Tribolium castaneum: one gene and its partner. The protein of the gene in region 1 interacts with the protein of each later gene in a pairwise test. Links are inferred from orthologs where the notes say so. Each region holds a gene or a part of one and is shown in the gene's direction. Other genes may lie near its edges.

The links.
Region 2: the proteins of sip1 (region 1) and Prp31 interact in binary tests that used the Homo sapiens proteins (3 or more experiments, as listed by UniProt). The link is inferred for Tribolium castaneum from reciprocal best matches to the Homo sapiens genes TFIP11 and PRPF31.

Annotation. Positions count from the first base shown.
Region 1 is NC_087402.1:11,582,866-11,587,525, forward strand, and holds the start of sip1 (sip1/TFIP11 interacting protein), read left to right. Parts: upstream 1-2,085; 5' UTR 2,086-2,196; coding exon 2,197-2,299; intron 2,300-2,375; coding exon 2,376-2,606; coding exon of another isoform or gene 2,607-2,651; coding exon 2,652-2,917; intron 2,918-4,660. UniProt on the Homo sapiens protein: Involved in pre-mRNA splicing, specifically in spliceosome disassembly during late-stage splicing events. Intron turnover seems to proceed through reactions in two lariat-intron associated complexes termed Intron Large (IL) and Intron Small (IS).
Region 2 is NC_087395.1:18,107,490-18,112,149, forward strand, and holds the start of Prp31 (U4/U6 small nuclear ribonucleoprotein Prp31), read left to right. Parts: upstream 1-1,304; 5' UTR 1,305-1,399; coding exon 1,400-1,736; intron 1,737-1,789; coding exon 1,790-2,613; intron 2,614-4,660. UniProt on the Homo sapiens protein: Involved in pre-mRNA splicing as component of the spliceosome. Required for the assembly of the U4/U5/U6 tri-snRNP complex, one of the building blocks of the spliceosome.

The DNA of each region.
Region 1 (4,660 bases):
ATAAGTTATCAAATAACTTTTTGGAAAAAAGATTTCCGTTATCAGGGTTTTGTTAAGTCTTTTAATTATAATAATAATAATAATAAATCATAATGATAATAATAATAATTATTATTATTATTATTTATTTATTTTCAACAGGTGAATCATCTAATTACATCTAAAATAAACGTGTTGTCTTAAAACTAAAACTAAAAAACTAAAAAGTAGAAACAATACAATAAGGGAAAAAATGCAAGAAAACTAACATTAAACTTTAAATTTTGCCTTCCTATTAAATTAAACATAAGCCCAAAAACTGAAAAACAAGATTTTTTTATGAAATTAAAAGAACAAAAATGAATACTGTTAATTTTGTTAAAACCTGGGTTAAAACTGTTGCACATTACATCCAACGCCGATTTTAAAAGAACATTAGTATGACAAAAAGGATAAAATAAACAATCATGGAATACCGTGAGTTAATGCTAAGAAAAATTATCTTATTTACTAAATTAATGAATTTTATCTTTCTATTCAGTAATTTATATAATAATGCAATAGTTAAGATAACTAAAGAATTCTAAAGAATTGACATTAAATATCCTTAGCAGCACTAGTTGCTCCATCCCGTTTCAGAGTAAGTTTCTGCCACTTTCATCAAGTTTCTCAGCGACATGTTGAGTGAGTTGTAACAAATTTTCTCTTTTCTCCATGAAATTTTCCTAAGCCGGTGTATTATTTGTTGATGTGTTGATATTTGAGTAAATTCTTCTGTACATCACTTCTGTCTTATTAAAGTTATGCATTAGCCTTGCAAAAAGCAAGGTGAAACTAATGAACCTACTTGCTAATTTAATCAAAAGCAATTTTGAAAAATTCCTCTTATAAGCAGGTTTATTTGGAATGCTTTAACATTGTAGAATATAAAGAAAAATAGACAATTAAATGAACGTCTTATTTTAAAGTCAGACAAATCAGTTAAAGTCGGTAATACAATACAGTTTATAGAAAGCCTTGTTAAAATTTAATTTGTTGTTAAAAGTTAACAACGCGAATCGACCAATCAAATTTGTTCAATTTGATCACATGAACAGTTAATCACGCATTTAATTGCAAATTAACTTAATGACGCTTCCATAAACCCATCCTATAAATATTAAATATTTTATAATAACTACAAGTTTTATTTTGGAGATATAGAAATATTTCAAAGTAGTTCTGGTAGTTCTAAACGAAAGTTAATAGGGCTTAATTTTACAGAAATTATTAAAGTATTGTTCATCTGCAAGAATTGCAAGCTAAAAGTAGAAGTTTTAAATTAAAAACTTAATACATAGGAATAAAGATGATCCAAACAGTTTATCCAAAAAAAATAAAAAAATACTATTACTAGTTTGTGTTTTTATCAAAACGCTACGAATACAGTGGAAAATATAAAAAAATGTAAAGAAAAATGTAAGGGTGTAGAGAATTAAATTTCCTATTTAAGTCCGCACATATTTTCAATGGGTAAATTAAGGTGTAAATTAATTTTCCCCACCTGACCAGTGGTAAAATGAAAAACCGTGCCTTCAGCATCTTTATTCTTTATACTTCTTTAGGGCCTAAGCGGTTAAAAATAGTGATATTGTCCCGACCATTAAAAAAAATAAATTCTCTATACTTTATTCCTAACAATTTTCTTGTACCTTTAACCATGTTCATTGTGTAATGAAAAAAATGGAAGAAAATGTGAAATAAATTCTTTTTCTTGTTTTTTGTATAAATTTTAGTCATCAGTTTTTCTCAATCTATTACGAATGTAAAGCCCTACATTTCCGCATTTTTTCCAAGTAATAAGTGATTTGGTTAAATTAAAATTAATTTAAAACGTTTTGGCGCTTGTATCTATGGCCGAATAACTCTGGAAGCGCCCTCATTTTTCTCTGTCGTACTATATTTTTTGGGTACAGAAAATCGTGCGATTTTCTATCTTGTTTTGTCTCCCGATATAAACTCCTCCGTAACGTAAACATTACAGCTTCATAAACGATTACAAACGTAACGTACCTTAATAATTGTTATTTAAATAATCGTAGTAGAATCCCACTTGTGGGGAGCTTTTTCTCGACAGAGGGCGCTATCGCAAAGCGACCTGACGCAAAACATAACCTCTGCTTTTTTGCCACCCGAAATCGATTAATTTGTTGTAAAAGTGTGAAAAAACGTGTGAAAATGTCGGACGACGAGATGGAAAAGTTCGAAATAACGGATTACGATTTAAACAATGAGTTTTACCGTGGTAGAAAAAAGTTAAGCAAACACCAGCAGATTTATGGTAACAACTTGACTCCACATCTACTATCTACCCATTTAGGTGGAACAAACCCAAATTAACGACTAGTTCCGTGTAGGTATATGGGCAGACGACAGTGATAATGACGAAGAAGAGCGACCTTCGTTTAAATCACGAAAACCTAAAAATTATTCCGCCCCGATTGGTTTTGTTGCGGGGGGTGTCCAACAAGCGGGTAAAAAACCCGAAAATGTTAAAAAAGAAGACGAAAGTGATGAGGAAAAACCAACGACGAGTTTTAAACTTAAGGATAGCTCAAGTGATTCAGAGGATGAACGTCCAAGGCCAGGTGGGGGCACAAAATATCAAACTTTTTCCAATTTGAATATTTCAGGGTTCGGTGGGGTCCAAGAAAGTGGGGACATTGCAGGCCTACGTAACAAAACTCACTCGCAACCTATGCAAGGGGTGGGAAATTGGGAAAAACACACAAAGGGGATTGGGGCAAAGCTTCTATTACAGATGGGTTTTCAACCGGGGAAGGGGCTAGGGAAAGACTTACAAGGGATTTCAGCCCCGGTGGAGGCCCACTTGAGGAAGGGCCGGGGGGCTATTGGGGCCTACGGGCCAGAAAAATCCGCAAGCATTCCAAAGAAAAAGGTAAACAAAAATAATAATTAATAAATTGTTTTTAACTTATTTTTACCCTAAAAGGGCCGATTTCATAAACACATTTAAATCTTGATTTAAATTTAATCGACTTTGTCATAAACTCTGTTTCACAAGGTCTTAGGGCCACTTTCATAAACGAATTTAAAGAAGCATTAAATTAAATGTTTAGTATGTAAAATATACCTATTCTTATCCTTTTATTCGATTTTTATGAACAATTATTTCTTTATCGTTTTTTAAAATCTTTACATTTGGAGATAAGTCTTCTATCACTTTGAATGGTCCATTGATGAAAATTGCACTTAACTTCTCACCTGTTTCGTTTTTTATTAACACTAAATCGTTGGATTAACACTTTTATCATAGTTTATTTTCCTAGATACGAGATTTTTATGAGCGTCATGCAGTTCTTTGCAGTTTATACTTCATTTTTAGCACATAACCATTAAAATTATACAAAGGCACAATCTCATTGGTTAAATGAGGTAAGTTATATTTTTTCCTAAAAACTAATTCAAAGGGAGTGTATTTAGTTTCGGAATAAACTGTTGTATTAAAAGGAAAACCCGAAATGGTATCCAGAAGTTATTAATTGGAACTTTTGTTTTTGGTTAAAATTATTAAAAATGCACCAAGATTTTTATGTTTTTTCTCGATAGCTCCTTAACTCATCATAATAAGCGTAGATTTCAAATGAGTTATGTTTAAAATTTTGCAAACTTTGGTTCTCGTACATGGTAAAAATTCAGTACCTTTATCTGTCCTATTAACTCGAAATGAAATTTTCTACAAAAGCTCTTGCAACAGTTAGTGTGTTTCGTCGGTAAAGCATACGCTTCCACAAATTTTGTAAGTTCGCACTAAATTGCTAAAACGTCGAATTAAAAATTAATGCCCCTTTAAGTTTAAAGCGTGGAGGGAGAAGATTCAAGATTCTCCCTGCATTGTTCAAATCCACAATTTTCGCCTATTAATACAGGGTGTATCAAAAATACGTGTGTGAATTTTACCACATAAAAAAACTCATCAAATAAAACAACTTTTCTATACAGGGTGTAACGAAAAGATGTTCACAACAGTGAACAGTGAACAGTTCACAACAGTGAACCATAGATTCCCTGTCTTAAAATAGAGCGATTTAGGCCAACTTATTTCTATACCAAGTTGCACCGTTTAAAAGTTAGAGGGCGTCAAATTAAAAAAAAATCGTTTTTTTTATTTTAGTAACTTAATTGGAATAATCGAGTTTCATGAAATTTGGTACAAGTAATTTGTCATCGAAAATTGTTGATGCTAATACTAACAGCATGTTTTGAAATAAATGCTCAATAAAAAAAGTATTTGCTTTATTTCATTCACTTTGTTTTGAAAAAAACCTCGACGTCAAAGCAAATACTTGCTAAAAAAGCTTTTACTTCCATTATTACTCAATACTCATACATTTTAGAGCACTTATTTAAACACATTATTTAAACAATTTCTGTTAAAAAACGGCAAAGAGGGGCCAAATTACAAAACAGTATAAAATACTCGTTTCATTTTCATAAGGCCTTGAAGCACTCATTTTTGAAAATTCGTGCTTAAAGACTGGTCTTATGAAACTTGTTTTTTAATATACTATTTCTTTATTTGATATTAATGTTGTCACCCTTTTCATTTCAAGCTGAAAAATTACGAAATTAGACTAGTAATTAAAGAAATGAAATTGACTTCATTTAGCTTATTTTGCTC
Region 2 (4,660 bases), on another chromosome or scaffold:
AAATATTTATTTATTAGAAGAATTTTAAGTTTGACATAAAATGTATGTATTAAAATGACATAATAAACATTTTCGTATATCCCAAAACCTGAAGAGTTTTTTAAAAAACTGTACTTTTTTAACCCAAATTTACAAATTGTGTAACTATACTGTAACTTTATATTCAAACAAATTAATACTGTGTGATTTTCTAAAATATTGGTCTAGTTATCCGTGACAGTTACGTTAACCCGATCTCCATTACGGAAATAAGATTCCAACATATTTTTTTTGGTTCTTCGGTGAACATTTTAGACATATTGACAAATAAAGCGATGCTAAAGTTATTTATGCAAAATGTTTCATTGATGACGTATCTGTCATGGATAACTAGATCAGAATTTTAAAAAGTCGGTTGGTAGTTTATTATAATAAGATAACAGATAAATTGCTTCGATTTGAAGCATTGAACTATCGTAGATGCCAAATAATTTTTAATTTTAAAAATGATCGCTTCCCTGTTGAATAGAAAACGGGTAATGAATAGGAATTAAATTATTTATTAAAAGATTTTCTAATATATTTTGTGGGTTTTTGCAATTATTTTCTAAAAAATGAATCTTAAAGCGTTAATTCCGTTAAATAAATCGGAAACCATTTTTAAGCTTTACGTGTAAGTCTTTACAATTTTTTGCTGTCTAAATCTTCTTAAAAAATTGAAGTTATTCACAAATACAAATGCATCGTTTTTAAAAAGAAGACACAACTTGATCCAAAATTTAATAAGAAAGTAAATTTTTTAAATATTTCTGTCATCTACCACAACTTCGTTAAGATGAATATAAGGTGTTCGTTTGTAGTCAAAAAGTTTTATTTCTTTTCTTCGGCATACAGTTTTATTCAATCCGGTTTTATTAAAATTAGTTGGTGCTTTGGCGTCCTCTGACTCCTTTTTATTTTTATTTGTATGCTTTTTTCCATTTATTTTTGTTTATTTTTAAAAACAACTATCTTAATATTCTAATTTAAAATGGTATTTAAAAGAGCTTTTGGCGAAGCAAGTTTGCTCTTATGTTCTTATAGTTATAGTTTTTACCAAAAAGTTGACTAAAATAAAAAAAAAGTTTTTTTTATTTAAATAACATGGCTTGAAACTACAATAACAACTGTTTTTTTAGTGATATATGTGTCCGGAAAAGTACTCTTTCACGGACTATATTCCGTCCCTTCACTAATTAATAATTATATTGTTTTTTTTCATTATCCCCAAATTAATAAGCAGATTATTATAGACAACCAGTAATTCAGCCCCACATTACAAGTAATCTATGGACACTTGTCAATTTGTAAACTGCATTTTTCTAACCTCACTTCCAAGTGTTGTGTGAACGTTTTGGAGTTACGTTTTTAACTCGCTAAAATGTCTTTGGCCGACGAATTATTGGCTGATTTGGAAGAAAACGATCAAGATGATTTGGAAGAAGCGATGGAAGTTGATGAAAAACCGGACATCAAAGAAGAAAAACCCGACGTTAAAGACATCCAGTTAGAGGTAGACACAACTCAAATAACTTCAGTCCGAGAGTTGTGTAAATTACGGGACTCGCCCCATTTACATGAAATATTGAAACAAATCGAAGACCATGTGAAGAAGAGCCGAAAATACCACGACATCATAGGACCAGTTGAGTTGGACCCTGAGTATCAACTGATCGTCGAAGCTAACAACATTGCTGCAGATATAGACGCGGAAATTGGTAAGAGTTACGATTTTAACCAAATCAGTTGAAACTAATCTGTTTTATTGAAGCCACTGTCCATAAATTTGTGCGCGACAAGTACCAGAAGCGGTTCCCCGAGTTGGACTCCCTTGTTGTTGGTCCTTTGGAGTACTTGAAGACCGTCAAAGAGCTCGGGAATGACTTAGACCAAGCCAAAAATAATGAAATTTTGCAACAATTCCTAACGCAGGCAACTATCATGGTTGTCTCAGTCACGGCATCCACGACACAGGGGATTCTCCTAACGGACGTCGAAAAGAAACAAATCGACGAAGCTTGCGACATGGCCATAGACTTGAACAACTTCAAACTGAAAATTTACGAATACGTTGAGAGTCGGATGGCTTTCATCGCCCCCAACTTGTCGGCGATTCTTGGGGCTTCGATCGCCGCCAAGCTCATGGGGGTTGCCGGGGGTTTGACCCGATTGTCCAAAATTCCGGCCTGTAACGTGCAATTGTTGGGCCAACAGAAGAAGGCATTGTCTGGATTTTCACAAGTGAATATGTTGCCGCACACTGGTTTCGTTTATTACGCAGATATCGTGCAAAATACTCCGCCTGATTTGAGAAGGAAGGCTGCCAGACTTGTTGCCACTAAATGCACGCTAGCAGCACGTGTGGACTCGTGTCATGAGAGTAAAGACGGACGTATTGGGCGGCAATTACGCGACGAAATTGAACGAAAACTGGACAAGTTGTTGGAACCACCCCCAGTTAAGTTTATCAAGCCGCTGCCGAAACCTATCGACCAGTCCAAGAAGAAAAGGGGCGGGAAAAGAGTCCGCAAAATGAAAGAGAGATATGCGATGACTGAGTTCAGGAAACATGCCAATAGAATGAACTTCGCTGATGTAAGTTTGGTTTTTCTTGTATTAAATTTTTCTAGTATTGAAAATATTTCTTACATTGAAAATTACACAATATTGTTAGCCAATCTACTGTTGAAGCAGCATTATAGTTTCATTAGATTTTGATAACATACTAGAGATCACAATCTTCTTTGCAAAAAGTTTTCTATGGGTTTGATGAAAATGCAGTTTTATTATTCTCTTGATACTTACAAGACCGGTATCAATAAGTTGTAACGAATAAGCGAAACACATAACTTCAGGTGTACCCCAGTGCTCAGTTTTGGGCCCAATCCTTTTTTTAATTGGGGTGTTCGATGTTTTAACGAAATAACTCCAGTTTTAGTCTTTTTGAGAAAAATATAGAAACGTATGCTATAAAATTTTCTCTTTCAAATGCAATAACTGGTTTTGTAATCGATTGATTTATTTTAATGTCATTAAACAGTAACAGTTGTTATAACACCGAAAATTTGTGGACATTTATTCAGTGCAATAATGAGATAAGTCCATCAATCGTTTTTTTACTAGTCTAGTGATTATTGTTAAATATAATGTATTAAAGCTTCCGTATTATAACTTATGTCAAAATAAGTTTAAAAAAAATAGAGACAAAAATGCAGTAGTAACATTGAATTGAGTTAAATTTTCACGGGTTTTTAAAAACCAAACGGCTTTCAATTTGAAAAAAAAGCGGTTTCGTCTGTAATTCTGTACTGCATTCCTCCTCTTCGCGTTTTATACTAATTTTTATTTATTTATTTTTCAAACAAAATCGATTACCATGATACTGAATGGAATCAAATAAACAATGATCTAAAAAGAATAGCCAAACATTGCAGTAATGTTAACTTAAAACTCAATGAAAATAAATATTCAGTCTTATACTTTGCATCTAAAAGTTGTAAATATTTTGAAGAATAATATATTAATATTTATATTATTAGTAATAAATTAAACGTTCTTGCAAAAAGAAAATCTCTAGGACTTACATTGACAGTGGAAAACACATTATTCATTATCAAAAAATGGTTCATCTCCTTGAAACTCTTACGTTCTAATTATCACATTCAGATTTCAAATTGAGAAATAAACTTATTGAAACTTTGGTAATTCTCCTTTATCTATTATTGCTTTATAATCTTATCCTTGTTTAAATGATGTTGATAGTTGAAAATAGATTATACAAAATTCAAAATATAATGTTATATATACAAAATTCAAAATATAATGTTATATTTTGAATTTTGTATCTTTGGCTTAAAAAAAATGTGATTACATTTCTAAGGTCGAGTTGTATCATCTTTAGTCCTGATTTAAATCCCTAACAATTATTCTCATAACAATGGCTATGGGTTTAATCCTGAAATTTTTTATACAACTCGACCTAAGTGTGTTTCTGACTTAATGTTGGAACTTCGGGATAAGATACTTGAGACTTCTAATAAAAGTATATTTAATATGAAAGTAAATCGAAATACAAAATGACGGAATTGATAAAAATATACACGGCACACTCTTATAAACAAAACTGTGGTTCACACGGAAACGAAACGCGACTCGTGAAACTTAGATGTCCAACACTTCCCCTCGAGTCGTGTGTCGTTAGAATGAATACTTCCAAAAAAAAAAAATTCATCCTTCCACTAAAACTTCTGGCAACTATCCTAACTATTGATAACTTGTAGTCCCGCTGCATTTACACTCCAAATATGTTTTTGTTTAGCGAGTCCTTTAGTTAGGAAATCAGCCACTTGCTGTTCTGTAGAGATATGCTCGAGAGATACTTGCTTGTCTCTCAAAACTTCGCGTACAAAATGGTGACGGACATCTATGTGTTTACTTCTCGCATGAAAAACAGGATTCTCAGCAAGACGTATTGCACTCTGGTTATCACAATAGATTTTTACGTCAGCCAGTTTGTCAAATCCCAACTCCTGAATGAATCGTCTAAGATAAATGGCCTCTTTGGCACACTCTGCCATGGCCATGTACTCAGCCTCTGTTGTAGACAGAGCTACGGTACGTTGCTTCTTGGTATCCCAGGAAA